Elephas maximus indicus: one gene and its partners. The protein of the gene in region 3 interacts with the protein of the main gene of each other region in a pairwise test. Links are inferred from orthologs where the notes say so. Each region holds a gene or a part of one and is shown on either strand. Other genes may lie near its edges. The genes, in order: HSD17B14, NR4A2, CDKN2D and NR4A1.

What was found.
Region 1: the proteins of CDKN2D (region 3) and HSD17B14 interact in binary tests that used the Homo sapiens proteins (3 or more experiments, as listed by UniProt). The two-hybrid records come from large-scale screens. The link is inferred for Elephas maximus indicus from reciprocal best matches to the Homo sapiens genes CDKN2D and HSD17B14.
Region 2: the proteins of CDKN2D (region 3) and NR4A2 interact in binary tests that used the Homo sapiens proteins (3 or more experiments, as listed by UniProt). The two-hybrid records come from large-scale screens. The link is inferred for Elephas maximus indicus from reciprocal best matches to the Homo sapiens genes CDKN2D and NR4A2.
Region 4: the proteins of CDKN2D (region 3) and NR4A1 interact in binary tests that used the Homo sapiens proteins (3 or more experiments, as listed by UniProt). The two-hybrid records come from large-scale screens. The link is inferred for Elephas maximus indicus from reciprocal best matches to the Homo sapiens genes CDKN2D and NR4A1.

Annotation. Positions count from the first base shown.
Region 1 is NC_064829.1:99,266,621-99,274,537, forward strand, and holds the start of HSD17B14 (17-beta-hydroxysteroid dehydrogenase 14), read right to left. Parts: upstream 3,011-7,917; coding exon 2,923-3,010; intron 2,256-2,922; coding exon 2,217-2,255; intron 1,951-2,216; coding exon 1,868-1,950; intron 833-1,867; coding exon 766-832; intron 1-765. Other genes in the region: PLEKHA4 (pleckstrin homology domain-containing family A member 4), read right to left, coding at 3,760-4,022, 4,381-4,624, 6,094-6,255. UniProt on the Homo sapiens protein: Catalyzes the NAD(+)-dependent oxidation of L-fucose, yielding L-fucono-1,5-lactone, which rapidly converts spontaneously to L-fucone-1,4-lactone. Can also act on D-arabinose and L-galactose, with lower catalytic efficiency. Does not use NADPH.
Region 2 is NC_064824.1:53,560,846-53,568,853, reverse strand, and holds the start of NR4A2 (nuclear receptor subfamily 4 group A member 2), read left to right. Parts: upstream 1-4,993; 5' UTR 4,994-5,569; coding exon 5,570-5,600; exon of another isoform or gene 5,601-5,604; intron 5,605-7,323; exon of another isoform or gene 7,324-7,447; intron 7,448-7,940; coding exon 7,941-8,008. UniProt on the Homo sapiens protein: Transcriptional regulator which is important for the differentiation and maintenance of meso-diencephalic dopaminergic (mdDA) neurons during development.
Region 3 is NC_064821.1:28,616,093-28,623,212, forward strand, and holds CDKN2D (cyclin-dependent kinase 4 inhibitor D), read right to left. Parts: upstream 2,841-7,120; 5' UTR 2,538-2,840; coding exon 2,397-2,537; intron 1,382-2,396; coding exon 1,022-1,381; 3' UTR 506-1,021; downstream 1-505. Other genes in the region: AP1M2 (AP-1 complex subunit mu-2), read right to left, coding at 5,482-5,504, 6,190-6,265, 7,092-7,120. UniProt on the Homo sapiens protein: Interacts strongly with CDK4 and CDK6 and inhibits them.
Region 4 is NC_064822.1:107,448,007-107,455,250, reverse strand, and holds the start of NR4A1 (nuclear receptor subfamily 4 group A member 1), read right to left. Parts: upstream 3,006-7,244; 5' UTR 2,864-3,005; intron 2,686-2,863; exon of another isoform or gene 1,650-2,685; intron 1-1,649. UniProt on the Homo sapiens protein: Orphan nuclear receptor. Binds the NGFI-B response element (NBRE) 5'-AAAGGTCA-3'. Binds 9-cis-retinoic acid outside of its ligand-binding (NR LBD) domain.

The DNA of each region.
Region 1 (7,917 bases), on a different chromosome or scaffold from region 3:
TATTTTTCTCACAGTATGCATCGCCCCAGACATCCTATCATATCCTGGTGTTTTATTGTCTAGTTCCTCACTCTAGAATGTGAATTCCATATAGAGGCAGGAAAGTTTTCTCTGTTTTGTTCACTGCTAAATCCCCAACAGGGGACAGTGGTGATTCAAGGTAGAATTCTCACTTTCTATATGGGAGACGCGGTTAGATTCCCTGCCAATACGTGGGGTCAGTGGAACAAAACGCTGCTCAGCCCTGCACCATCCCCATGATCGGTTGCGGGTTAGACTGTTGTGTCCATAAGATCTTCATTGGCTGATTTTCAGAAACGGAGCAACAGATTTTCCTTCTTAGTCTGGAAGCACTGATGAAACCTGTTCAGCATCATAGGAACGCGCAAGCTTCCACTGACAGGTGGCTGGTCCCTGAGCACGAGGTGCATTTGCTGGGAATCAAACCCAGGTCTCTCGCGTGGAAGACAAGAATTCTACCACTGAACCCCCAATGACATCATTTTAGAGATGTGAAAACTGAGGCACAGAGAGGTGAAGACACCAGCTTGGGGCACACAGCAAGAATGAAACTGAGTCAGGATTAAAGCCCCAGCCTGGGGGATGCCATAGTTGTATTGTCCTGCCCAAAGACATAGAGAGGTATAGAGGAGGATGAGGGAATCGGGGTCAGAAAAAGGGGAAACTGCAGTGCAGGATGAAGGGGAGGGTAAAAGGAGGTGAGCTGGCTTTAGGGCAGGTTGGCCTTGGGGCCTCACAACTCACGGTAGCCAGCATTGTTGACCACACAATCCAGGCGGCCGAAACGGCGGACAGTCTCAGAGATTAGGGCCTGGGGAGAAAGAGACACTCAGTGAGGGAACAGCTTGTGGTACCAGCCCCTAGGGGGGAGGGATCCAAGGATCCTAAGAGCAAGGCAGGGAGGGGAGCTAGAGAAAGGGTGAGACTCTTTCAGGGTAATCAGGCATGTGAGGGTACTTATGGCCACACTGCAGTGTCATTTCAGAAATGCAGAGAGAAGGAATGAGACCTGGTTGGGAGGTAGCCAGATATGCAGAGTGAAGAAGATAGAGACCCAGAAAGAAAGGGGGACAGAGACCCAGAGAGAGATGGATACAGAGACCCATAGAAAAAGGGGTACAGAGAGACTCATAGAGAGGGGGACAGAGACCCAGAGAGGGGGACAGAGGCCCAGAGAGATAAGGAACAGAGACCCAGAGAAAGAGAGGGGGCCAAAAACCCAGACAGAAAGGGAAACGGAGACCCAGAGAGAGAGGGAGACAAGCGGACAGAGACTCAAAGAGAGAGGAGGACAGAGACCCAGAAAGAGGGGGATAAAGACCCATAGAGAAAGGGGTACAGAGACTCATAGAGAGGGGGACAGAGACCCAGAGAGAGAGGGGGACAGAGAACCAGAGACGGGGGACAGAGGCTCAAAGAAAGAGGAAGACAGAGACCCAGAGAGAGGGGGTCAGAGACCCAGAGAGTGAGGGACAGAGACCCAGAGAGATACTGATTAGAGGGAAGGGATAGAATCCAGAGATGGAGGCAGGGACTGTTAAGAAGGAGACCACTTGGAGGAACTCAACCATGTGACAGGTGTGGTAAGAGCCTTTAGGATGTGGCAAAGAAAACAGAATTTACTCAAGGGACATGTGATCTGGCCGGCAGAATCAGAAGAAGTCTCTGGGCAAAATGACATGGTCTGAATCATCTGGGACAGATACAAAGGACAGATAACCAGGAGAGAAGGAAAGGGAAAGGAAGAAGGAACAGCAGGTACAATAGCTCAGAGGAGAAAAAAGGCAGAGACAGAGAAAGATGGTAACATTTGGAGCTGGGGAGTGTGGATAGAAAATGCACTCACCTCCATGTCTTCCTCCTGAGTCACATCACAGCGGAGGAAGACAGTGCCAGGAAGCTCCTGCTCCAGGGCCCGGCCCCCACACTCTGCAGGGAGAGAAGGGCTGTGAGCCTCCACTCCTGGATCTGAGGGAGTAGGGGGCTGGGACTCCCGGTTCTGAAGGAGGGGGCTGGGAGCCTGGAATCCTGGGTCGGAGGGAGGAGGAGGCCAGGGGTCTGGACTCCCACGTCTGAAGAAAGAGAGGGCCAGGACCCAGGATCCTCGGATCTGAAGGAGGAGGAGACTGGGGGCTCAGGCTCCTGGGTCTGAAGGAGGAAAGGTTGGGGGCAAAGACTGAGGGACTCTCACTCACCATCCTTGTCACAGATGACCACGTGGGAACCGCTTTCCACTGAGAAGAGGAAAGGGAACAGGTTACCCCAGCACAGACCTGGTGAAAGCCTCTGCTGCCCCCTTGTGGCCACCAGGAGAGAGGGCCGAGCAGCCCTCCCACCCCTCGTGACACTCAAGTCTCATGATGATCCTCTGGGACAAAGGGCAAAGGCCCCAACATCTGTTTTGCTAGGCTACTCCAGGTGCCTGCTAAGGGCTCCCAGGCCCCCGTCCCCGGCTCCAGAGTCAACCCTAAGCCTGCAAGAGATACCTTCCCCAAGCCACCTGTTTTGCAGCCCTAATACCCGAGATCCCAAGAAGGGAGGAGCTGCCTTTAGACAACAGAAAGATCTCAAAATCTCAAGCCCCAGGCTACCACTGAAAAACCCTACCTTAGCCTGAAAATTAGAGGAGTCCTGCTGGAGTAGTGGTTAAGAGATCGGCGGCTAACCAAAAGGTGTACAGTTTAAATCCACCAGCTGCTCCTTGGAAGCCCTATATGGCAGTTCTACTCTGTCCTACACAGTGGCTATGAGTCGGAATCCACTCGACGGCAGTTAATGGCATGAAAATTGGTTTTTTATAAGAGTCTTGACTTCACTATTGGGGTCCTTTCCTCCCACTCCTATCAGCCCCCGGGCTCCTCTCCCAGAACCCCAAACCCAAGCACGCAGACCCCAACTCACCGAAGGCACGCACGATCCCGGCTCCGATGCCGCGTCCGCCCCCTGTTACAATGACCACCTTCCCAGCGTAGCGCCTTCCCGTGGCCATTCCGCGTCAGCTAGTCTCTTCTGTCTGCCACTCCAGGCCTCTTTCCACCTCCGAAGTCCCCTAAGGCCGTCGGGGTCAAGTCCTAAATAGAGGCTGAATCTTGAAGCCCGGCCCCAGGGGCGGTGCCAGGAAAGCCTCAGACCTGGGAAGTTCAACCCCAGCCCCCTCCACCTTCAGATCAAGAGTCCAGGCCCCCTCCTCCCTCAGACCCAGGAGTCCCAGACCTTGGCCCCCTCCTCCCCCAGACCTAGGAGTCCGGCACCCAGCCCCCTCCACCTTCAGATCAAGAGTCCAGGCCCCCTCCTCCCTCAGACCCAGGAGTCCGAGACCTTGGCCCCCTCCTCCCCCAGACCTAGGAGTCCGGCTCCCAGCCCCCTCCTCCTCTGACCCCGGCTCCTTCCCTCCTCCGATCTAAAAGTCCCGTTCTCTCTGGTTCCTCACACCCTGCAGTGGGAGCCGTCAGTCCCTTCCTCCCTTGGAACCTAGCAATCCAGGACTCCCGCTCTGCTCCTTCAGAAGCCTCAGTGTCACAATTCCAAACAGACCAAAAAAAAAGGGCTATTCACTAAAAGTTCAAAGTTTAATTCAAACTTGGACAGCGTCGGGAAAACAAGTTTTTGGCTGCGGAAACCACGCTCTCCTAGCTACCGGTGGGACTCAGGCCACACCCCCAGGAGCCTTGATTGGCTCTAGATCTCTGGGCGGTATCTCCAGGCCACACCCCGCGCTTCGATTGACAGACGTTTGGGTCAGAAGCTGGACTGCAGCAGAGTGACTCTCAGAGGCCACGCCCCCTCGGCCGAGGTCAGGGCGGGAGGGGCAATACCAGACTGCCACGTGGACTCCCAAGGGGCGGGGCCCACGCTACGCCCGCTACCCGGGCTTGAGGGCATCGCGGTGCGGGAATTAGCCACGGGAGGAGATCTTGGGGGAAAGGTAACCCGGGGTGTGGGGTCTGACGGAGGCGGAGGCGCAGGGGAAAGAGGATCTCCCCGGGCGTCCAAATTTCCACCTGGAGAGGATGAATGAGGCATGAGAATGGCAAACTTCTCGATCGAAGAGTCTAGATCCCCAGGCATTTCCTCTCAGACCCAGGAGTCCGGCCCCTCAGCCCCTCCTCCCTCAGCCCCTGGAGTCCAGGCTCGCAGCCCGCAGCCCTCCTCCCTCAGATCCCCATTCCCCCCAGAGCCTGGATCCCCGGACCCCACTCCCGTTTTGTCTGGGACCTAGAAGTCCCAAGTCCTGCCCCGCCCTTCCCTCACCAAAACAAATGATTCCTGGCGGCCTCCAAGCCCCTGCTCACCAGGACCTAGGCTTCCAGGCCTCCAACTTCCCTAAAACCCAGAAGTGCAAGGCCCCCAAACCCTCACCTGTCATCATTCTGTGCCACTGCGACGCCTCAGTGGCCAGGGCCTGGGAGAGGCTGAGGACCCTCTCCCGGTGACCGTCGGATGTCGGCAAGTAAGGCCTGGTGTTCCTCGGGCTAGACCGAAGGAAAGTTGGGGGGACGGCGGGGGTGGGGAGAGTATGTGCAATTAGCCAGTATAGTGAGGACCGCAGTGCGGCGCGAGTCCTTCTGGGAGTCGTAGTCCCAAACACGTGTCTCTGAAAAAACTAAACATGGCGCTTCCCACATGAGCCCACATGCATTATAGGATTTGTAGTCCCATCTACCAGATTTCCTAGAAGGAGGGGCAGGGTTTGACAGCCACCAAGATGTAATGGAAACTGCAGTTCTCACTGCGGGTCTAGGGCTTTCTGATTTTGGTTCACGCATCCCAGGAACTCATTCGTCTCTAAAATTCTGCAATGTGTAGTTCTGTAGTTGGGTGCTTTTAGTAATAATGTTGCTTCCCTCCCCTTTGGCAAATTAATTTCCCTGCTCCCTTGCCCTGCCCTCCAGTTCCTCACCTACTCCAGGACCCGGAGCTTCTGAGCCATTTCGGGGCTCCCGAGTGTCCCAAGGAGTCTACGGCAGGCTGGGAAGGAATCGGGGCATTAGGATTCTTCACTTGGAAGCCCCATGTCCTCATTTGGAGGGTAAAGAGAAGGGGCTCAGAGAGGAGATAAAATAGCCGAAAGGCACTGACAATGTTAACCTTTACCTGACGCCTGCGCTTCCGGAAGAGTGAAGGTTAAAAAAATCCCTCCACTTTTTTGTGTTCCAGGCAATGATTTGCTGCAAAGAGTGCCCTGCCTCCTGTGACTTAGATAAGACTCTGAATTACCTACTCTGAGCCCAGACACGTACCCTCCAAATTTCCGTCCTTTGTTTCATAAATGATGAGTCAAACTGTTTGTCACCCTGAAACTAGCTAGACACAGAGCTAAACATTTCCTGTTCAGTTGACTGTCCGAGACTCTCCCAGATTGCACAATCTCAACTGTAAAGCCCTCCACCTATAATTTGTCTGTTGTTGTGAGCTGCCATTTAGCCAGCTCGGACTCACAGAATCAGACTGTTGTGATTCATAGGGTTTTCTTTGGCTTATTTTTCAGAAATAAATTGCCAGGCCTTTCTCCCTAGTCTGTGTTAGTCTGGAAGCTCTGCTGAAACTTATTCAGCATCATAGCAACATGTAAACCTCCACTGCACATAAGGTGCATTGACTGGGAATCGAACCTTCCTCTCCCACATGAAAGGTGTGAACTCTACTCTTCATAAAAGTCTGAGATAGAACCACCAGAGTGGGAAAACCACTCTGATACTGGGTTCTGGGGTGCTCTCCCAATGGCCACAGACTGAGAACAATCAATTTCCTTATATTTTTTACTATTTTGCCTTTGACAACACATAGCAGCTGAGAAGAACTGGTCTTGGAATCCAGACCCATGGCCCAAACCTGAAGAGAAAGCGCTGGTGAGGTGGCAGTGTTGTCTCTGCCGCTGCTCCACCCACCACCAGGTGGGCTGGGAAGCAAACTAGCACAGGTGAAAGTTGGGGTGAATCTGGAAACTAAATTATGGGTAAGGAGGTGGTAGAAAGCATCCCAGTTTTACAAAGAGGGAAACTGAGGATCAGGCTAGAAGCAGAGGACCCAGAACCATGCCATCTCCCCACTCTCCCCATCTGTTCTCCTCACCCGTTGCTCTAGGTCAGGCTGGCGTCTGGCTGGGGACAGTGTCCTCCCCAGAGTAAGAAGCCTGGGAGTGGTGGAGTGAGGGAGGGACCGTCCACCCTCCTGGTGTCTGCGCATGCGCTCCAACTGCTCCTGGGCACTCATCCGGGGCCGGGGCAGGGGGGCCTGGGAAGACGAGAAACACAGACTCCAGCCTTGGGCTACCAATTTCTTTTTCCGAACCCCTGGACCTCCAGTCTTGTTCCCTACAGGACCCCAGAGGGATCTTCCTACAGGCAAAACGGTAACTGTCCCTGCTGTGCGTAAACGGAAGCCCAGCCAAACACTCGCACTTCCCTGGCCATATCAAGCCTCCTCGCCTTCTAGCATCAGGACTCTGGGTTGCTTGTGCCAGAAAAACAAAACAAACAAACAAAAAAAACTCTAAACTAGCAGCAACAACAGAAAAGAAGGGATGCGATTTGTTGGCTAACAAAATTATCAAGAGGATAGGTTGGGGGGGGAGCTTAGACATGACATCATACGCTCTCTCTAGCTTAGACATGACATCATACGCTCTCTCTAGCTGTCACTGCCTCTCTTTGCCTCAAAACCAAAGAAAACTAACTACTGTCTCGTAATAGAAAACCCCCAGAGGACAGCTGAGATCTGCAGCTCATCCCGGAACCTTGGGACCAATCACTGCAGGAAAGAGGATGCTTCACTCCAATTGGGGCAATTCTGAGTCACATGACCACAGGCGACACTGACAGCTAGCGGAACCACGTGGCTGGAATAAAGAAGGAGCTATTCCCAAAAAATAAACGGTCGCTATGAGTCGGAATCGACTTGACGGCACTGGGTTTTACTCCCAAAATAATTGTAATTCATAGCTTCCCTGCCAATCCTTTGCCCATCAAGCACGCTGAGAATAAAAAAGTTCCCGTGGTCCTAGGGGAAGATGGAATGTTCTGTATCCATGATAACAAAGAGCCACCAGAAATTATTTTAAATAGGGTTATTGGAGCAATTACAACTGGTTCCCTAACCAGGCTTCTGAGAGCCAACCAACCAGTGACCCCAGTGACCTGAGCGCTTCTGAAAATGAACCAACCAGCAGCAGACACACAGCTTCCAGAGCTTGTTATTGTTGCCTGACATCAGTGGGTTTCAGCTCACAGCGACTCCATTCGACTGAGCAGAACTGCCCCACAGGGTTTCTCAGCTGTAATCTTTATGGGAGTGGATTGCCAGGTCTTTCTCCCACAGAGCCGCTGGGTGGGTTGGAATCCCTAACCTTTCAGTTAGCAGCTGAATGCTTAACCATTGTGTCACCAGGGATCCTTTCCCACAGCTTAAGGACAACCAATTCCTAAGCATACCTGCCTCTGAAAGTCCAGCATTTTCTGAACTCCACACTATATGAGACCAACTCTCTGCTTTGCTCAGGGGAACTGTATCTACCTTGCTTAAGCAAGTAAGAAAATCAGCTTTTTGTTTTCCATACAGAGTGGTGGCCTGTTTATTCATCACCTCTGTGTCTTTGCATAGTCTGTTCCCCGTGCTTGGAACACTGTTTTCTACATGGCCAAACCTTTTTTTTCCAGTTCATCCAGACTCAACTGAACTATCTTTTCAAAGGCTTCTTCGGTGCTCTGAGTCCATTACATGACTTATCCTTATCTGAGACATATGATGTGTTGGTTAATTTTACGTGTCAACGTGGCTAGGATATGGTTCCCAGTCATTTGACCAAACACTCGTCATGATTAATGTGATTAATCAGTTGGCCTTGTGCAGAGCAGATGACCTGCCATAATGCAATCTAAAGTATGTAATCAGTCACTA
Region 2 (8,008 bases), on a different chromosome or scaffold from region 3:
TTAAATTACTTAATTGCAATTAAAGTCCTAATTTTAATTGGCAAAATGATAGATGTAGATTTAAGATAATATGTATAAATACTTTAATAAGTGTCTATATAAGGATTACTTAATTACTCAACTTCAAGTTTATGCTGTTAACTTTAGAACTTTTAAGTGAGCAATGAAATTTATATTACATCTATTCAAAGGATATGGTAATTAGATTTATTACTTATCGCTATAAGGGTGCTTGCTATAAGTTACTTTTGTAGTGTTAAAATTGTAGGCTTGATAATTGCAGAATTATGAGAAAAAGGGCATGTATTCCTTTGTTGTAATATATCAGTGCTTTATCTTCATTTTCTTGTTAAATGGAGAGTTTCCTATCAGTAAGGTTGAAGGAAAAAAATCAAAAGTGGTTATTTTATCATTCAAGATAGAACAAAAAAACTAGCCAGCTGTGATTTACATATAAAAACTCCGTTGCTAGGTGTATCCTTTTTATCTATTTAAGGAAATGTTATCTAATAGTGATATGGTTATTAATATTATTTACTACGTCTACGACTACAAGTGACCTTGATATTTTCATAGCATATAGCAATTTATTTTCAGAATCTTTATGTCTTTTAGGACTTCGCACATTTCAGTGAGTCCCATGTTTACTGAAATTAGCAATGAAATCTAAGGAAAATACTAAGCAGTTAACCTAAAAGATATTTAGGAGATGGTTACTATAAATTGAGTATTAACGAAAGATGAAGGATTTTTTATAATGCAAAATACTATTTGAGTGGCATGAGGTCTTACCATATGTTCAGTTTTAAAATTTTAATTTATAAGTAGATGCTTCTAGAAAAAAAAAGTGCTGTTTTCTTCTGCACATCCTTACACATTTCCAGAACTGAGTTCTAAAACGAAGTAAGAAATCAGTTTTAAAGTCTTTGCTGTAAGTGGTTTTTTGGTGACAAGTGGGCTAAATAAAGCTGAATAAAAGCTACAACTACCCAAAATGTGAATATCTGCTAAGCAATTGACTTAAGTGTCCTATATGGTAGGAACAAATGATTCAGTTGATTAATATCCTATCAATGCAAATGAAATGGCAAAAACAAAATAGCTGCAAAACCGCCTCAATATTAAAATATGATTTTGTATTTTCAGAAAGTTTTTCAAAGTGAAAATTTATTTCTTCTACCACTGCCATAAAACTGCCTGTCGAATGGCTAAAAATGCTGTGAATGCAAGGTTATCCAAATATAATTTAAAGTATGTTTCATCTTAGTGCTTAGAATAGGTTTCATTAAGTAATTTTATTATGAAAATTCTAAAGTTACCTTCACTCTTAGGGCATAACAGGTACGTCTGTTTCACTATATCTGCATTGAAAGGTCTATTCTGAGTTCATTTTGGGAGAATAGTGAAGGAAATCCCTAAAGGCCCCTTTCCCATGCATTAAGATAGAAAATCTTATGGGATTACATCCCTGTTTGCTTTCTAAATTATACCAAAAGCTGAATTTTATTAAGTTTAATCTGCTTAGCCATGCATAAAATAAAATACTTTGGTTTAGATGTAAGTGTATGTATTACTTATGTTGATTTTTTATAAAAATATTTTACTTGTGCCAATATGTGTTGCTCACTATTGGCTGGTATAAAAGATAATACAGTAACGTTACCTTCCTAAATGTTTTTTTGAAATCATCTAATAATAATATATATCAATAATAATAGTTTTCTGTTTTAGTTGGTTTCAAAAGATGGAGCTACTTATGGATAGCATGGATTTTTACTCCCATTTATTTTAAATTATTAAGAAAAGAAACCATTATGGGATAACTATGTATTTATACATAGCAATAATTTAAAGTTATATTAGATGTTGAACCCTGAGAAAAAAACACTATTGTCATTTTAATTAGGTTATAAAATGTTTTATTTGAACTGTTTATGTTCAAGAATCTTGAAGGATTGCAGTCATATAAATGCAGAATTTCGGTTTCTTTTAGCCTAAAGCATCATTTTAACATTTTCTAAAAGGTTGTTCAGTTCTACATTTTGATTCCATTATATGTGTAATTAAACCTCTGTGCACGAAAGTATTCTCCTATGTACTAGCAAGTACACCCACAGGAATCCTCTTCTAAACTATAATTTATTTAAACATGTAATCATAGGATTTGAAAACATGCCTTCATTTTTCCAAACAATACGCCAATTTGAACTGCTTGGTAATAAAAGGAGAGATTTTATACCAGTATGATTTTTTTTTTCTTCCCCTGTGACCTAACGGTGAATGAAAATGGGCAGGAGGAAATTTTAAAAAGAAAATGTGTTATAACTGTTTCTCTTCTTGAGAAAAATAGGAGAGAATCAAAGATTTGTAGCTATTTATGAATTCCAACACAATATGAATATTTGGGCCTGCAGTATTCTCTCCTCAGGCTTGGTCTAAGTAGTAGATAGTTGTGTATGTGTGTGTGCGAGAGATCGATCTTCTTGAACGTTGTGGAGTCAGGCCCCCTACTGACAGGATCAGTCAATTACAGATATTGGCGGTTCTTCTGGGATTTAAACCCATCAGAACCTGGTGAGGTAACAGGAGTCTGGACTTTGAAGGACGACCTTTCTTTACACTTTCTGTTCCCTGTGCTTGATCCATTTCACCCACAGCACATCCGCAACCTACCAAAAGTGCCAACCCAAGGAGTAAAAAAAAAAGGAGTAGTTTATCCAAAAATTGATTTTAGTCCTGGTACTTCTCAAGAAGCAACTTTTCCCAGGAATCAGAATAGGAATTTGGGAAAAGGATTGTAGAAGACAAAAAAGAGGCCCCCTTTTTTCTCAGTTTATGTTTAAGCACCCCATTCCCAGTTAATAATGACGATAAGCTTCTGTGAAAACTGTCCCGAGTACGTTAAGATTTGGGTAAAGCCTCTGTCAGATTCGACAGGTTGGTGTTAAAGAATAAATCACATTACAGTGTTTGGCTTCCTTGGACGCTCACTTTAAGAACTTTAGGACGCTTTTCCATTCCCTGGGAGGGAGTCCTTAGGTGGTTCCCAGACTAAACCCAGCACAAATCTGGATGTGTTTTTAATCACAATGAGGGAGAAGTGAAGGGAGCGAATGTATCTATTTAGATGCTCGTATTAGTGTCTGTATGAAGAGTGGTGGTTACAACTTTAAAGTTCTCTCGGCCCCCGCTTTCCTAAGACTAGATTTAAAAAATAATTTGCCACCCTAGCTTGGCCAAGCTTGCGTTTCCGACTGTCTGAAATAGCTTCCTGGAGCCTGGCCCACCGCGGGGATCAAGGAAAGCTCCCCCTCTGGCCGCGCCCTGCTCCCTAGCGGAAGGGGAAGGGAACCTGGGAGGGCGCCATCCACGCTGGAGCTACTGCTATTTTTGGGCCCCGCCGGGCGGGTGCGTCAATGCCTGCGCCCCTGCGTCACCGCCACCCCCACCCCCTTCCTTCTCCCCAGCTTTCCAAACTCTCACTTTTTCCCTTTGGTTCGCGTGGACTCGCTTCTGCCCACGGGGTGCTGACGCTACGGCGCTCATGCTAACAAGCTATTCTTCGCCCTCCTCCCTTTCTCCCCGGTACTTAAATATACTCACCCACCACAATAACATACCCTGCACACACACAGACACACACACACAGACACAGACACACACACACACACACACACACACACACTTCCTGGTTTTATTTTTTTCTCGCGCCCCCTAGGGCACCTCGGAGCTGCACCAGTGGTAACAGTGGTAGCGGCTACCGCAAAGTCTGGGGAAAACTTAAGGTGGACACGTAGATTTCCCTGAGGCTGCGGCGCAAAAAAGCTTTCCGGGGCAGCTGCTGTGTACCGAATGGCAGCGCCTCTCCAGCCGCCGAGGAGCAGGGGGCAGCGGGAAGCGTGCAAAGGCGGGAGTGCAGATTAGGGCTGAGCATAGTTCCACGGAGGGGACGCGAGTGGCAGAGGGGCCCGTAGCAGCCCGCAAACAGGCCATGCCGAGGGAGGAGGGGCTGCTGGAGCGCTCTCCGCGGGTGGGGAGCGTCTCCGAGCTCTCCGCTAGTCCCAGTCTCTTCCAGCCCCACGGGAGAAGCCCCAGGAGGCCCTCCTAGCTCAGGCCGGCCGGGGGACCTGGAGGGGGGCTCGCCCTCTGAAGAAGCGGTGTTTACTTTGCTAGAAAGCGCCTTGCCCTCTCAGCGTTGCGGGCGGATTGACTCGCTAAGCAGAGTCGGCGGCCACCCCGCGGGCTGGGAGGGTCCGCTCCCACCTCCTGCCCGGGTCCCTCGCCTGGAAGAGCTGAGCGCCCGCACCTCACGCTTCACGGAGACCTCCCCGCCCTCCCCTCCTCCAGCCATAATGTCCTGCGTTTCTCCGTTGGCCCTCAAGTTGACGCGTGAGAACCCTGTGTTACAGCGGAAGGTCAACTTATTTCCCTAAAACTCATGTAAGGGTTAAGAGACGGTGGGCGCCGGGGTGTGCTGAAAGTATTACAGTTGGCAGAAGGTGGGATCAGAGCACCTTCCTGCAGAAGGCGCACCTGTTGCCTGCTGCTCGGCTGCATTGTCTGAGAAGGGAAAGCGGTCGACGCTTCACTCTGATTCTGGGGTTCCTGAAGGGCTGGGTCACTGTCCACGCTCTTCCTTACCCACCCCCTCCATACACTGATTCCTCCCTTGTATGTGGGCACTGCAAAGAAACAAGGCAACGCAGAAACATAGCCTCTACTCTCACCCTCTTCCCTCCATTGCAGTGTGTGTGTGTGAGAAACAGAGACAGAGATACAGAGAGAGACAGACAGGGAGAAAGCACCTAGCAGGGAAATCCCTCCCCAACAGCCTGAACCCTTTGACCATCTTGTGTCATGGGACATTTATCTGTACGCGCTTCCGTTGGGGGGGGGGGGTGAGGAGTGTGGGTGGGTGGTTAGGGCACTGCACTGCACACCCCATCCCTTGCTGTTTCAGGTGCGGGCTACCTGGCCCACACCAGGGGTCCCTTCCGCCCAGCCTTTTTTTTTTTTTTTTTTTTTTGCATCCTCCTCGCATGTGAGCTGCGCTGCAGCCGCGATGGGCGCGGGGGCTTCGGAGACGGCGAGGTGTCCAGGTTCTGCGAGCTGCGCGGGCTTGGGTGGAGAGATCACACCTCTTTCAGAAAAAAATAAATAAACCAAGCCAGCTACCAAGGTGAACCCAGAACGGTTCCCACCTTAAAATCTGCCGTGCTCGTGACGTCAGGTCGGAAATATACCAAAGCCAGCGCGGGCCAGGAGTCCGGGGAGCGCGGCTGCAAGGCGATTGGGCCACAAGCTGCTGACGCGCGCTGACGCGCGGAGACTTTAGGTGCATGTTGGCAGCGGCAGCGCGAGCCACATAAACAAAGGCACATTGGCGGCCAGGGCCAGTCCGCCCGGCGGCTCGCGCTCTCCTCCTCGGTCCCCGCTCGCCCGCCTAGCCGGCCGCCTAGCCCTCTTCCTTTCCCGCTCGCGGTGTCTCTGCTCCCTCTGCCCCGCTCACCCGCCCCTCCCCGACCCCGCCACCCGGCTCCCAGAGGGAATTGCACTTCGGCGGAGTTGAATGAATGAAGAGAGACCCGGAGAACTCCTAAGTGAGTAGGTGCAGCCCGTGAAGCTCGCGTTCTTTTATCCTCCTTTCCTCTTTGCGTGTGTTTTCTTTCTACTCGTGTGGTACACGTTCTCTGAAAGTGGGAGCTAGAGGCGCGGAGGGCGAGCGGGGCCAGAGAGTGGGGAGAATGGATGCGCGTAGCTACTGAGAGTGCTCGTCAGAACTCAGGCTTTGGCACTAGGGGGGAGTTGGTTCCAAACAGAGGCTTCCCAGGCTCCTTACTGGTGGAAGTGGAAGGGGGACTTGCACGTTTCTGGGAGTTGCAGGCTAGCCCGCGGAAATACGCGCAAAGTTTGCTCTTAAGATGAAATTGATTGTGGTCCTTAAATACGGAAATTCCAAGTCGTGCGTATACGAGGGGCCTGGACGCTGCCCGCAAAGTGACAGGGAAAGTTCTTCAGTTTATGTGTTGCTTGGGAACAGTGTCACCGCGGCTGGCCAGCGTGCCCGTGTTTCCCGAGTGTTGTTGATTAAAGGTGTTGTTGGTAGAGTGTTGTGCTACTAAGTTACCTGAAATTTCTGAGTTTGACATATGCCGGAGAGAGAGAAATACAGAGACAGAGGATGTGTAGAGAGTACAGTTATGAAGCTGCAAAGCTACCCGGGGATTAATATTCTACACAGACATCTCTCTGAACGAATGTGAGGATCCAGTTCCCTTTCTTTCAGCTATTTTTTTCTGGTCACCCCCCCCCCCCCCCATGAAGCAAGGTTTTGAAGAGGATGGAAAAAAACAAAACAAAACAGGAGTGGATATTTGGCTTTCTTTTTCATTAGTAATAAGATTATCTAAAAAAAAAAAATGCTCTAGAATGCCTTCCAAGTGGGGACATCTGAAAATTACTAGAATACAAGTATTCCTTGTTCCAGCAAGTAGGCAGATCAGGGAAGGCTGTACAGGGAAGTAGGAAAGGTATTCAACTTACCATACTGGGAAGCACTTTTAACATTGATGCCAGTACCATGTAAGGAATATTTCCCTCGTTCAGCAGCTGGCTTAAGATCCTCCTGGAAAAGTAGGGTCCCCTCTTTCTACTCCTTGGCCATTAAAAATAGTGTGAAAGACAGGGTTCCTGGAAAAGTGAACACCAGTTTACTTGTATCCATAGTGCTGAAGAGCAATCCTAGTGCTCTGTCGAAAGCACTTAGGAAACCCAGATGCTTCAACTGGAATCAAATGGTCTTTCCCTATGTCCAGACCTAACACTCTAACCCTTGGTGGTTTTGTTTGTTTTCCCCCCTCATTTTATATTCTTAACTTTTAACTTTCTTCCCCCCTCCCAAAAGAAAAGCCAATGTTACTGAAAAAAAAAAAAAAGAAGTTTTTTTTCAAGAGAAGTTTCCAATGCTTCATTTGATTAAAGTCCAGACTTCTGATTCAGGCCTGTTAAACTAAAATGGAAACATGTCCTCCACAGCTTCATTACACCATAAGTGTTAAGTATAACTACATGCAATACATTTCTTCCTTCATGAACCCTCTCTCTGCAATGATTTACACAGTGCAATGGGTGGCATTTTCTGTTGTTTCCAGACATCTCTCTTACACATTCATTCTATCTGCTGTGTTTGGTAAAGGCTATACACTGATTTCCAATGAAACAAACTGGGAGGGCATTGGAGGGCCTGCCTGATTGAGTCTACTTATGTCCTGCGGAATCTCTGGCGGGAAAGTTGTCCTGACGCTTCCTGTGTCTGTATTTCAGGGAGCAGATCTGAAAGGCTGGACTCCCCATTGCTTTTCTAAAAATCTTGGAAACTTTGTCCTTCATTGAATTACGACACTGTCCACCTTTAATTTCCTCAAAAACGCCTGTAACTCGGCTGAAGGTTAGTGCAACTTCATTTCTTTCCCTCCCTTCCCAGAGTTCCCTAACGTCAAGAGACTCGGCAACGCTATTTCCCCGGGCAAACCCTGTAACTTAAGGCTTCCCGGAACTATCACCTTTGGGAGCAACTGCCTAATTGTGCAATTCAACTTCAGCGGAGTGGTTTCTAGAACGAGATTTCGGAGCCCGAGCTTCAGAGAGGCTGATCAGAGCGGGGTTGGCTATGAAGGCGGGCGTGGGGGGGTGTTTGGAACTATCCGGGAGTGTGGACCCTCAATAGCTTTCTAACTCCGGGTCTTTATGTGCCCAGCCCTTCCTCGCTCGTCCTGCACTGTTTTGGCTGCGGCACTCGCGCTCTCCCGCCCTTCTTTTCGCGCCCCTGCTCTCTCTGTCTGACCGCCGCGGGCTGCCGGTGTAGCTCCAGGTGCACCCGAGCCGGGGAGAAAGTGTTCAGTTGACCAGGCTGAGTGTATATTACCCTGTTTCATTTCCAGCCATGCCTTGTGTTCAGGCGCAGTATGGGTCCTCGCCTCAAGGAGCCAGCCCCGCTTCTCAGAGCTAC
Region 3 (7,120 bases):
CGGCTCTTTTGTCCACTGCGCAAGCGCGACGCAGGCACCTTAAAGGGGCGGGGCTGCGTCCGGCCCGCCCACCGTGGATTTTAAGGGAGCAGAGTCCGGCCCCGCCCCCGATCCTTCCGGGACGTGGTCCTCTCTTTGGCGAAGTCCCCGCCCATCGGTCACGCCCCTGCGGGGAAGGCCGCGGCCACCGCCCATTCCCCCTACTCGGGGCTCCGGGCACCCAGCTGACATCTGGGGGCCCTTTCTCCACTCGCGGTTTCCTGCCTCCCTTCCGTTCCGACAGCGCAAACCGCTGCCCCACCCAGCTCACTCACCCCTGCTACCCTGGGAATTACCGCTCTCTCCCCTCCCCCACAGTATCGGCGCTCCGCGAGCCACCATGCCTACCCCCACAAACATCGCCATCCCAGACACAGAAATCTGAAGCCACCCTCGCTGTGGTCATACTCAAGTCTTAATTTAATGGATAAAAACATTAAATTATCACACTGAACAATTTCTTCAATAAAGCTTAATAAATAGAATCTATTTTTTCAACACTGTACAAGAGACTGGATAACAGGCTTTCAACAAAATATAGATGAATTCATGCCACCCCTTTATGGATTTGGAACTCTGCCCCCACCCCATGTCCAAAGCAGTGCGCACCCTTCTGGTCTCTGGGCGCAGTCGGCCGAGGTCGCCAGGTGCCAGGAGACTTGGTGGCGATGACCCGATGACCTCACTCCGGGGCTGGGTCTTTAACGCTCTGCCCTGGTCTGGTCTGCAGCCCCAGCAGCCTGGGGCGCGGAGGAAACTGAACCGTTTAGGTGGCTTTTGCATGCAGAAGCCCCACTCTTTCCAACACACCAAAAGGGGTGAGAAAAACAAACGAGAAACGCCCCCCAAACACACACACACCCAGAAATCAACACCAGCAAGCCACAAACTGGCGCCCCTCCCCCTCAACACTGGACAGTAGGAGTAAGAGGAGAAAGTGTTTCTTCCCTCCTCTTCAGAGATGTGCTCAGTGAAATCCTGGTCACAGTGGGGCCACCAAGTGCCCTTGCAGGATGTCCATGAGGTCCCGAGCCCCTCTCTGCTGCGCCAGCTCCAGGGGCGTGAGCCCCCTGGCGTCCCGGTGATGGAGATCAGACTCAGCAGCCAGGAAGCTGACCACCGCGGCGTGACCCTCCCGCACCGCCAGATGGATTGGGAGTGCCCCGGTGCCATCAGGCGTGTTGACATCGGCGCCATGTTCCACTAGGACCTTCAGGGTGTCCAGGAATCCAGTGCGAGCTGCATCGTGGGCTGGAGTGGTGCCAGAGACATCCTGGACGTTGGGGCTGGCCCCTTGCTTCAGCAACTCCAGGGCGATGGTGGGACTGCCGAACATCATGACCTGTGTGGGGCAGAGGGTGAGGGGTTCCCCCAAGGAAGGGGACCCAGAAAAGGGGGTCCCAGGAGAGAGAAGGGTCTTCCAAGAGCAGGAAGGAGGCCTGTTCCAGAAAAGGAGTCCTTTAGGGAACAGGAGAAATCCCAGGGAACACAGCCCTAGGGGGAGCTTTTTGAGACCCCAGAGAACAAGACCTTCTGGGAAAAGGAACCCCAAGGAGCTAGGCATTGCCCTAAGGATAAAATGAAAACTTCCTAGGGAATAAGCCCTATGGCAACTTTCAAGGAACCTAAGCTTCTTCCTAAGAAACTGGAGACGACCACCAACACCCCACTCCACCCCGGAAATAGGATAGTATAAGGAAATATGAAACCTCTTCCAGAAATGGGCCCTCAAAGAACCTGACAGCCCTCTCAAGGGAAAGGGGGATGTCCAGGTAATTTGAATCGCCTTCTCCAGGGAATATTCCCCCGCAATATAATGAGGATGCTGTCCATATTATCTCGAGAAATTGAATCCCCCATAAAATGTCCCCCAGAGAATAAGGGACAATCCGAAACCATCCCCCTATTGGGGGAATCTGCAAACCCCCGCAGGGCTGGAGACCTCCAAGTAACCGGATACCTCTCAGAGAACTCCCCCCCGAGAAAATGGGGATGCCCTGGAAACATGAAACCCTCCTTCTGGAGACCGCCTCCCCCAGAGGTAGGGGAGCACCCCAAAACCAGAGCCGTCCCCATGAAACCGTGACCCAAAGATGTTGAACCCCCACTAAAAAAGGTCCTCCTCAGGGAAAGTGAATGCCGCTCACCCAGGGAACAAGGAATCCTCCAGAGAAGATGGAGAACCCTCCCCCTTCGCCCAACCTTACCCTCCCCTCCCATGAAAGGGGACCTCAGAGAGCAGCGTCAGCCCAGTGAAGGAGGAAAAGCCCCCAGTCAGATCCCTCCAGGTCCAGCCGACGAGGGTCAGGGGTCTGGGGGCCGCGTCCTCTCCCCGCTCCGGGCCGGCCCGGCCTCACCTGCAGCGCCGTCTTGCCGAAGCGGTTCAGGGCGTCGGGGTGCATCAGCTCGCGGTGCAGAAGGCGGCGCACCTCCTGCACGTCGCCCCGGGCCGCTGCCCCGCTCAGTCGGTCGCCGGCATGGACCTCCTCCAGCAGCATGTCGATGCTGGCTGCCTGCGAAGCCCCCCGCCCCACAGCGGCTGGTCAGCGCGGGGGAGTCCGTGAGCGCCGGCCAAGCAGCCTTCCCAGGGCCTGGCCGCCGTGGCTCGGCCTGCGTGATGCTCCCAGCTCAGCTCGCAGGTCTGGAGCTCCTGCGCGACCCCCAAGCTCCCGCACGGCTCCTCCCTCTGTCAGCCGGCGAGTGGCGAGGGGCTAGGAGCCGGGCCCAACCCTCCTTGGCCCAAAGGACTCAGCTCGGCGCCCGCCCCTTGGGGGCCGGGTCTCCCCCCTACTTACCCACCCTCCTCCTCGACGGGCGGGGTCTGCTCTGAGCCGGCGCCGCCGTCGCCGCCGAGCCGGCCCCCCGGGGGGCGGAGCCACGGCGCTCGCTGCCCCGCCCCGAACACCGCCGTTTTGTTTTTTTACGAACTCGCTACAATGTAGCCAGGCAGAGCTGCCCGGCGCGCGACCCTGCGGCGCCCCGCCCACGAGCCCCTCGCAACCAATGGTCGTGAGTCGCCGGGGGGGTTTCGTGCTCTGGCGTGGAAGGTGTCGCTTCTGATTGGTCCGGACGCGGCAACCGTAGGCCGCTGGCAATGGCGGGGTTTTCGGTTTTCAAACGCGCCTGGCGGGCGGGAAAGAGGGCCGGTTTAACTGACCCAGCGAAGAAAGGTCAGGGGCAGGGTAACGCGGGCTGCGCCGGGACCTCGGCACCTGGGCGGGGGGAAAGGAGGCAGGGCTGGGGCCGCCTAGCCCGGGATTCCACCTTTCGGTCACGCGATTAGCGTTTTGGGTGGCGTAGAGGTTAAGTACTACGGCTGCTAACCAAGAGTTCAGCAGTTCGAACCCGCCAGACGCTCCTTGGAAACTCTTAGGGCAGTTCTACTCTGTTCTATAGGGTCGCTATGAGTCGGAATCGACTCAACGGCAGTGAGTTTGGATGTGCTGAGCACTATTTCATTCATTCCCCACTGTGCACTGCACCGGAACTTTTTAGGGGGGAGCGCACACAATGAAATTCAGTCATTTTAGGTAGCGTCGAGCACCGTGACAGAAGTAAAACGATGAAATGGGGTGGGTGAGGAAGGACTCACGTTCTGGATTCAACAGCCCACGAGCCTAGGAGGAGAGTCGTGGCCAAAAGCCGCTACAGAGGCCTCCATTCAGAGATTTACTGATCACCTACTCTGTGCTAGGCACCCTCCACTGCCTCAGTCTAGGGCGGGAGAAGACAGTAGTTAAATCTTTTCAGGGTCTAAACGCTATATAGCTGATAAGACAGGATAAGTGGTAGCTCCTCGGGAAGGGAAATGCGGAGGTGAGGGAGGTGGAAAGGGAGCCATGTATACGTGGGGAATGCGTGCCAAGGCAGAGGGAACTACCCCTTGCGCCCTGAGACTGAAGCGCACCTGGTATGTGTCCAACACCTGAAACAGAATGAGTGAGGGGGCATTGGCCTGTAGTTTTCTTTTCTTGTGGTGTCTGTCTGCTTTGGGTATCAGGGTTATGTTTGCTTCATAGACGGAATTAGAAAGCATTCCTTCTCTGTCTTTTGGAAGAGTTTGAATAGTATTGGTGTCAGTCTCTAAATGTTTTGGTAGAATTCTCCGGTGAAGCAAAGGACTTTTTTTGTTGTTGGTAGGTGTTCGATCACTGATTTAATCTCATCACTTGTTATGGGTCTGTTGAGACTTTCTATTTCCCCTTGAATCAATTTGGGCAGGTTGTGTGCTTCTAAGAATTTGTGCATTTCATCTAGGTTCAGGGGCAGATTACCAAAAAAGCAAGGTAAGTATGGGGTTATTTGTGCTTACTTACTAATGTGTAGTGAACAATTTCACATTTTTTCAACTTATCAAAGATTCTGCTTCTAGGTATGGCTGGCACCTGTCTCTCTCACAACCCCACAGTATGTTCCTATAAATTCAAAGCCTCTTTTTAAATTTACAATCCCTGACAGGGATGGATTATCAAAAATGTGGTGGATTGTTCACTACACATTAGTAAGTATGCACAAGTAAGAGTGCGCTTACCTTGCGTATTGGGTAATCCACCCCATCTAGGCTATCCAGTTTGTTGCCATACAGTTGTTCATAATATTCTGTCATAAATCTCTTTATTTCTATCAGGTCGCAAACTGTCAAATTTGTGTATATTTTGCTGTATGTATTCTCAACACAACAACAAAAATAAATTTTTTTTAAGTTAAAAACAGAAGAAGGGGGGAAAAAAAGAACAAGGGGACAGAGGAGGAGAGGGGCTGACCAAGACTTAAGGGCTGCAGTGAGGACTTGGCTTTTACTGCTAACAAGATGGGAACCTTGGGAGGGTTCTGAGCAGAGGCAGGAGCTGACTTAGGCGTTAACACGCGCCCTCTGGTGGCTGGAAGGGGGAGAATAGACTGGGGCCAAGCAAAGACGGGAATAGGGGACCAGGGTCCAGCCGACCGCCATGGCCCAGGTGAGCAATGATGGGCACCGAGGAGGTACATGAGCTGCCCACTCTCATCCAGCACCCCAGGGACGCACACACACAGCCAAGGAAGCACATACACAGTGGCTAGACTCATCTTTTTAATAACATCCTAAAACTCAGTGGAATGGGCAGCGGGGCCTCTGGGCTCAGCAGCTGTGTTGGAGGAGGGGCCCTGACATCCGCTAAGGCAGGTCACTGCAAGAAGGCACTCGTGAGGGGGCTTGAAGCCCCTCCCCTATTTCTTCATATAAAATCAGAGGGAAGTCCCAAGGGAGAGGGAGGCAGGGAGACCATCCTTCCCAGCCTGTGGGTAGAGAAAAAGGTGAGCAGGGGGCCTGATGCTGGGAGCTGGGAGAAAGACACTGGCAGGCCAGGGGCCTGCCCTCATCTCCCCAGGATCTGCGGCCGGCTCCTGGGGAGACAGAGGTCCCACACTCTCCCATGTCCAAGCCCCCGACTCTTCTGGCTTCTAGCTGGTACGAAGTTGATAATCTGCAGGGAAACAATGAGCTAGGCAATCTCCAACTTGAGGGAAGAGACAGAGAGACAGCTCCCCAAATCCATCCCCCACTCCGGTGCTCATGATCAACCCCAGGAGTATGTAACAAGGCTAAGGATGAGGTTAACGCAGGGGCGGTAACCATATCAATGGGCCTCTTTGTAGGCAGCAGATGGGGTGCTGTATGCCCAGGCCCTCTTCCAAGCCCCAAGACCACCCTACAGCTGACAACTACCTCCATTTGAAAGATAGGCCAAAATAAAGGATATCATCCGTGAACACGGTGCTCCATTAAAAAACTATTTGAGACCAAAAGGTCAACAATTACTCAAAGCAAAGGTGAGAAGAAGATAAGGGGGCAGGGAAACTGGAGCGCAGGAAACCGAAAAACCAGAACACAAAGAGAACGTTGACACATTGCGAAAAATGTAACTAACATCACTGAATAGTTCATGTAGAAATTGTCAAATGCGAATCTAATTTGTTGTCTAAACTTTCACCGAAAATACAATAAAATATTAAAAAAAAAAATAAAGGCAGGCAAACCAAGCCCCAGGGTGGCAAGGTGACACAGGGGCTGGCCTGGGCCTATGCCTGTTGAGTTTTGGAGCCAGAATATAGTCAAAACCTTGAGGCCTCATCTGCCTGACCCTGTCCCAGGGAGCTGGGCTGCCTTACCTCCACTCTGGGTGATGTAGCGAACCCAGGGCAGGGCCTGGTAACCACTTTTCTCAATGATCTTCATATATCGGACCTGGAAGGGGATGAATAGAAAGGTGGCCCAGGCTGGGCAGAGTGAGTTGGCCCAGGCTGGGGGGAGTGAGGTGGCCCAGGCCGGAGGAAGAGGTGGCCCAGGCCGGAGGAAGAGGCGGCCCAGGCCGGAGGTGGGGGAGAGGTAGCTCAAGCTGGGGTGAGGCGATCAAAGCTGGAGGGACAGTTGGCTCAGGCTGGGGGGAGTGAGGTGGCCCAGGACAGAGGGAGAGGTAGCCCAGGCCAGGGGTAGAGGTAGCCCAGGCTGAGGGGAGTGGGGTAGCCCAGGCTGGAGGGAGTGGGGTGATCCAGGCCAGGTAGAAGGAGGTGGCCCAGGCTGGCAGAATTGAGGTGGCTGGGGCCAGAGGCATATATGTGGCACATATTGGGGGAATAAGGTGGCATGAGTTTGAAATAATAAGGTAACATGGCTTGGCTTGAAGGGGAAAGGGATGGCATAGCAGTGTGTTGGGGTAAAGGGGGGTTTGGACAGAGAAAGAGGTGACACAGTGCCTGGGAATAGACAGGACATGATTTGGGGGGCTGGAGGTAGCACAGGTGAAGGAAATGGTGGTGAATGTCTTGCAGACAGGGGAGCGAGCGATGTGATCAAGGTAGCCAGGGAGGAGGTTGCACAGGCCAAAGTGGGAGGTGGAGGGAGAGGAGACCCAGGCTGAGAGCAGAAGTGGCAACACTGTCCAGGGGAGGGCAAGGAAGACTACAGAAGAGAGGTGATACAACCCAGGGACAGGAAGTGACCCAGGGCAAGAGATAGGAAAAAAGAACCCACTAGGGTCAAGGAGGGGAGCCTCCCTGCCCTCTTCCCTCACCTGGATCCCAGAAACGGTGAAATAGGGGA
Region 4 (7,244 bases), on a different chromosome or scaffold from region 3:
TGTCTGGGACATCTGGGAGGGCTTCCAACCTCAAACAAAAAGCAAAATCAGGCTTCAGGCCTGTCGCAGCCCACAGGCTACACCTGCTTCCAGAATGACACTATCGTTCTCCCATACCCCCCAAACGACTCTGTAGTTAGGCCTTAAGGGTCTCCTCACAGCTGGGGAAGAAGACAGCAGGGCAGGGAGGGCCAAATACCCTCGAACCCCAGTCAGGCCCAACCAGAGAAGAACCCAGGTCTTCCCTGCCTGTGTCTGAGGACAGGGCCCAGAGTGTGGCACCCAATGTTCAGAAAGTGATTCATTACACCTTAGAACAGGTATCTGATACAATCTCATGTCCCAGATTAAAACTCCTTCCTCAACACTCATTCCAAAAGAATGAGCAAACCAAGACACCTGCAGCTCAGGAGGTCGTAGTGGGGAGAGGGACACAGAAAGAACCAAAGACATTTACAAACAGCCCTGTGCCTCCGAGGGTGGGCCAAGAGCTGAGTGAGCTCGGAGGAGAAAGTGATGCCCACAAAACGGGGAGGGAGCATCAGGCTGCCCCAGCTCTGGCTCCCCTCCCCTCCCCCCCGGCCACTCCCCCTCTCCCCCGCACCTGCACCTTACCTCCACTCACTGTGTTTCAGTCACGTGAGCTTTCTTCCCCACCTCAGGGCCTTTGTTCCCTCTGCCCAGAAAGTCACTGCCCGGATGCCTGCAAGGCTGGCTCCTCATCCATCAGGTTTCTATTCCCCTTGTCACCTCCTTAAAGAGCCCCCCCATACCCATCACACTATTCTGTTTTTAGAACATAAGTAAGGACCCTGCCTGACGCCACCACGGCCAGTCTTCAGTCTCTAAAACAGTGCTCAGCACTAAGTGTTCCGTAAGTATTGTGGAATGGGGAGGGGTACACCACCCTCCTGAGAGGAGAGTCAGCGAGCTGTCTGGAAGGAGACGGGGAGGACATTTGAGCTAAGGAGCCAGACAGCTCCCAAAACTGCCTCTTCCCCTTTGGGGCAGATCAGAGGATCTTTCCTACACTGAGTCACAGCCCAGACTCTAAAGGCCTCACAGCCCTGGATCCCAGCTCTACCTCCTGCATGAGCCCACAGAAGACCTTCTTCTCCTTCCTACCAAGTATTTGAGTCTTTTATCTAAACGCTCCTGTGCAACAGTATATGGTTGACAGACCTTCTGCAGCCCTGGTGGCCTCCTGGGCACAACCTCTGCCTATGTCCCCACCCTGAAATGGACATATACTAACAGTAATAACAGTCACTAATACTTGTCAAACACCATGCTCCATACATTGTGAAGCGCTTCACACGCATGTTCTCATTTCAGCCTCGCAGCACTATGAGGAAGGATGTATGCACATTTACCAACGAGGAAACAAAGGCACAGAAAGGTTACACAACTTGCCTGAGATCACACAGCTAGGAACTGGCAATGCTGGGATTAGAACCCAGGTAGCCTGACCAGGGAGCCCAGGGCGGGGTATCACCATGCCCCCTGGGACCTGTGCAGTGGGTAGAGGCCTCAGATTGCACAGAACAGTGTGACAGACCCCACCCACTGGGCAGCTGAGCCAGGCCTCTCACCAAGCCTGACTCCTGAGATGACTTTCTGAACTCCAGCCCAGGCCTGTAAACACTTACCATTAGTCACATTCATCTTGTCAGTTTTGGCCCATCCTTCTGCCCTATAGCCCACATTTGAAATCTTCATTTTATGGGTGGTGCAGCGGTTAAGTGTTGGGCTGCTAATCAAAAGGTCACCAGCTGTTCTGCGGGATAAAAATGTGGCAGTCTGCTTCTTTAAAGATTTCAGCCTTGGAAACCCTATGGGACAGTTCGATTCTAACCTATAGAGTCACTATGAGTCGGAATCGAGTCAATGGCAATGGGTTTGGTTTTTTGGTACACTTGTCATTCCTCCCAGCTCTGGGTCAGAACAAAAAGTCAACTGGCTTCCCCTTTAAGTCTTCATCCCAGTGACTGATCTAAGTGTTCCCTTGGAATGTGTCTGGGACCATGCTTTGTGGCCACCACTTGAGCCCCTCTCCAGGGTGATATCTGTCCCCCAAACCATCAGCACCTTTTAAGTATAACAGTTGTGAATCTACCTGCCCCTGCCCATTCTTCATTTTCCCGACAGGCCCATAATACTAACCCCAAAACGCAGACCAGCACTTCACTGTCAACAAGACATGCCACCTCTGCAGCATTTCTGTGTCCACCAGTCCACTTATCAAAAATGGGCGCATAAAAGGAGAATCTGTTGAAGTCAAGGAACGGAGCTCTCCCCTCAACACCCCCCGAGGAGGTGCCGCTCTCCCCAAGTATGAGGTCGCTGTTGGGAAAGAGGGTGCTGCGGCAGAAAAATACGCTGTCATGGTAGATGTGGCTCCTGAGTCCCAACCCTAGCCCCGCTCCTGACCCCATAAGACCCTCTCTGGGCTCGATTTCCAGGCTCAGACCCACTCAGGGGCTGCGCAGGGCAATTCCGGGCCCTCCCGCCCCGACCTCCTGGCAGCCGAGCTCCGGAGCTCCTGGAACTCGTTCCCCGCAGCCGGCGGGGATATGGAAGGAATTTCTCGGGCCTGGCCACCTCCAGCGCCCCTCGCGGGCCAAACCCCACCCTTGGCCGGCTGGGAGAGAAAGGGTTGGCCGTCGCACTTGGGGGCTGACTCTGAGCCAGCAGGTTCCGCTGGGAATCCAGTCCCCCCCTCCCCCCACTCTCCAGTTTCCAAGCAAGACTCCCAGCGTGGCCCTGAGCCCATTGCAGTGCATCCGCGAAGACCCCGTAGACCCCGTTCCTCCCCGGGCCTCCCCCGGGGACCACCGTGCTCCTCCCCAGGCTGCCCCCTCACCTGGCAGGGAGTGCTTGCCTCGCCTCTCCACCCTAGCTTTCCGGGGTCGCGCATCAGCAGACGGGGAGCTGCTCTGCACCGCAGCGGCGCCCATACCCGGAGGCCGGGGGGCGCGGGCGCCGCGTGGGGGCCCCCGCTAGTTCCGCCGCCGCCGGCTCGCGCTCCTGCCGCCGCAAGGCTGCGGCTCGGCGCCCCCCGCCCCCAGGAAGCCCCCGGCCCAGCAGTTCCGGCCGCTGCCGTGCCCCCCGCCCCCGCAGCCCGCGGCCGCCCGCGTAGCCATCCCAGCCTCGGCGCGCCTCCCCCGGCGGGCAGGCGGGGACCGTGACGCGCGCCCATTGACGTCTCCGGAATCCCGGCGGCGGCGGCCGACGCAGCCTCATCAATGGGGCTAAAAATAGCGGCGCCCGGAATAGCCGCGAGCGCCCCGCCCCGCGGCACCCCCCCTCCCCAACACACACAGGCTGCACACACTGTTACATAACCCGCCTCGCTGGGGCCGGGGCAGAGGGGCTGTTTTTCACAGGGTTCTGAGGCCTTGCTAACACCTAGCGAGGCAGGAACCCGGAGCCAGGTTATAAATAAACTTACCCGGGGCTTCCCCCGAGGAAGAAGTGGAAAAAGAGGCCCGGAGAGGCTTCGCGGCGGCCCAAAGTCTCACAGCAGTTAGGCTGGCTTTAGATGACAGGGCCCCTGACTGAGCCCTGGGCACCCACACCAGCCTTTCTTGGCCTGTATGCCACCCCAAGGGCAAAGAAGCCAGGTAAGAAGAGTGCCCAGCTCCCAGACAAGAAGGCAGATTAGACAGAAAGAGGACTTCTTGAGAGAGTGAAATTTCCCCTGAAGAGAAGCAGTCCCAGACTTGAGAATGCGTGCAAGGGCAAAGCACACGTGATGGAGTCACAGACCTGGCTTCTCTAGATCATACGCATACCACTGTGTGACCTGGGACAAGTCACTTAACCTCTCTGAGCCTCTGTTTCCTTACCTATAAAATGAGGATGATAAGACTGTCTCCATCTTGGTTGTTTCTTTTCCTTTTTTTTTTGTTTATTGGAAGATTAAGCAGCTGTGAAGTTGCCCTGTACACAGTAGAATGAATTTCTCCTCCTTGCTCTCCCTTAGAAGTCCGACTTCTCCAATCCTCAGGAGTGCTTAGTGCAGGAAATACACAGTGGCCAGGAAGCCCTGAGAGACCCACCCTCCTCTGACTGTAGTCTCTGTCACAGATTGAATTATGTCCCCCCAAAAAGGTGTGTATCAATTTGGCTGGGCCGTGATTCCTAGTATTGTGTGAGTTTTCCTATATGTTGTAATCCTGCCTCTATGATGTTAATAAGGGAGGATGGGTGGAAGTTGTGTTAGTAAGGCTGTATACTCTACAAGACTGGATTGTGTCTTGAGGCAATCTCTTAAGATATAAAAGAAAGAAGGGAGCAGAGAGACAAGGGGACCTCATACCACCAAAAAAGCTGTACCAGGAGCAGAGCATGTCCTTTGGACCCGGGGTCCCCGCACGAAGAAGCTCCTAGTCTGGGGGAAGATAGATGAGAAGGCCGACAGAGAGACAAAGCCTTCCCCTGGAGCTGACACCCTGAATTCGTACTTTTAGCCTACTTTACTGTGAGAAAATAAACTCTTTGTTAAAGTCATCCACTTGTGGTATTTCTGTTTTAGCAGCACTAGATGACTAAGACAGTCTCTAAGTGCAGGCTTCCCCAATAAGAACCTTCCTGGTGGTGGGGGTGCTTGGAAGATTTCTCTGTCCCACCTGACTGGGGCATTCTTTGGATATGGGAGAACTACCTTGTCCTGAGCAAATCCTTCTTCCCCAACAGCTGCCTGCTCAGGTGTATCTGTGGGGAGGGGGTCGCCAGGCCAAGGCCTGAGCAGTGGCGCTTGGGTCCGGCTGGGTGGGGTTGGGGGTCACAGCTCCTGTATGCTGGGCGGCAGGGCCATTGGAGAACAGTCATTAGCGAGGACCCAGTCCTGTGCTCTGCTACACCAGCCACCGGTCCCTGCTCACTTTTGGAGTCACTTTAAACTATGAACACGAGATCTAATCCCCAGCACCCAGGCCAGGCCCCACGCAGCAAAGAATGCCTTCTGCACTCTCCAAAGGAGGCCCCACACCCCACTCAGCCCTCATTCCAGGGGCCACATTCTTCTCCCCACCCCCATACCCACCCCCACAAATCCTTTTCTGGACCTACCCTAAACTCCTGGTGCAACTCAGAAGCCCCTTTCTCTCATTCCTCATAATAATTCCAAGAACCTCTGGTTTGTTCCAAATCACCTCCTCAGAACCTTCACATTTTTTTCCCAGATACAAGTGTTAGGCCAATTTACAGATAAAGAGAGGCTTCAAAAAAAATAGCTGAGCGGGGGAAGCCAGGGGACCAGCTTTTTTCCACCCTCCACACTCCCCTCCTTCCTGCCTCAGCAGCTGCTTCCTAATGGGTTTCTTAAACCACTACCCCACCCCCTCTTTTTCTTTTCCCAGAAATCTAACTTTTGAAATACATTCTAAAATATTTGCCTGTGTAGGAGAAATACATTTATTTGGACAGGAAGGACTAAGGAAAAAAAAAAGGGCTCAGTTACCAGTTTTTCCATGAAGCCTTCCAGCCCACAGAGGTCTCTCCCTTCTATAAATACCTTAGCACAACTTGCCTTTATTTTAAACTCCCCTGCTTTATAATCAAAACATATATTAAAACATGCATGGATAAAACACACGCACTGTGTGGCTTGTGGTGCCAGCATGAGGTGGTGAAAGAAGCATAGACTCAAGAGGCTTGGGATCCACATTGGCTCAAACTCTTCCCAGCTGTGTGACTTCAAGGAAGTTACTCGCCCTCTCTGGGCTTCTCATCTGAAACACAAGTGTGATAACATACGTATCTCGAAGGGTTGTCATAAGTAATGCATCTTTGATAATAGACATAAAACATGTAGCAAGGAGTTGGGCACATAGTGGCAGGGCTGCCGTTTCCACAGAGGAGGACTTGCGGAGGCCATCTGGTGGGAAGGCAGGGCTGGGGAACCTGTCTTGAAGCTGCACATGCAAAGTGCCTACCATGGCTTTGCCCAGCTGGTATGTTTATGTAGGGAAGCTGCGGGGCAGGGAGGGCTGTGCAGTTGGGGGTTATGCCACCCCTTAGTGCCATTACTGATGTACAGTAAATTCCAGGCCCCTTGTTGTCTTCTGGAGTCCCTAGGTGGTTAACGCTCTCAGCTACTAACTGAAAGGTTGGAGGTTCAAGTCTACCCAAAGGTGCTTCGGAAAAAAGGCCTGAAAATCTACTTCAGAAAAAACAGCCACCGAAAATCCTATGGGGTATAGTTCTACTGTGACACATGTGGGATTGTCATGACTCATAATTGACCCCACAGCAACTGGTTTGTGGCTTTGCTGTCTTCTTGACCCAGGTCACTCAGCTAGTGACCAAGCCAGGACCACAGCCCAGATCTTCTAACTCCCAAACCAGTGCTGTTTCTACCCACCATCTTGTTCCTTCATGCCTAGCCCTTCCTCTTTCTACACAAATCCCAGGAACCATTGTTGTGTGCCACTGAGCCAATTAGAACTCATAGCGACCCTATAGGACAGAGTAGAACTTCCCCATAGGGTTTCCAAGGCTGTAAGCATTTTGGAAGCAGACTGCCACATCTTTCTCCCGCTGAGTGGCGGGTGGGTTTGAACCACTCACCTTTCAGTTAGCAGCCGAACGCTTAACCACTGTGCCACCAAGGCTCCTTCAGGAACCCCTACACAGTCCATACTGCAGATGAGGAAGCTGAGGAAAGAGAAGCTACCTGAATAGTTTGGGGGGGGGGGTTGGGGGGGCAGGCACTTTGGCCAGTGTTGTCCTGTCTTCTAGGAAATTCCTCAGGGAGGTGCTGTGGCAGAAAGCTGGTTCCTAGTCTGATGGGGAGGCAAGAAACAAGAATAGGTATTAAAATATTGTCAGAAGACCAGGAAGCAGCCTCTAAGAGGTCTCAAGCCAGCACTGCAGTGGAATCTAGAGAGCTAGTCTGAGAGGCCTCACTGGAGGAGGAGAACATGGGGGCACAGTGTGCAGGGAGGGAAAGGACCAGGCAGGGCAGAGAGAAGGAAGGGCATACCACAGTGGAGAAGGGCTGGCCCCAAAGCTGATAGGTATTAGGGGGCAAGGTAGGGATTCTGGAGATGAGGAGCTGTGAGCTGCAGGACCCAGGACAAAAAGTCAGACCCTTAGTGGTCTTCACTATATGCCCCTCAATCTTACATTATCAGAAACCCTTGATCCAACCCCACTGAGTCAGGGAGATACCATTCCTCCCCACCCACTCCCTCCCACTGCAGCAGGGAGGAGCCAAAGGATGTCAAAGGGGTTCTTGT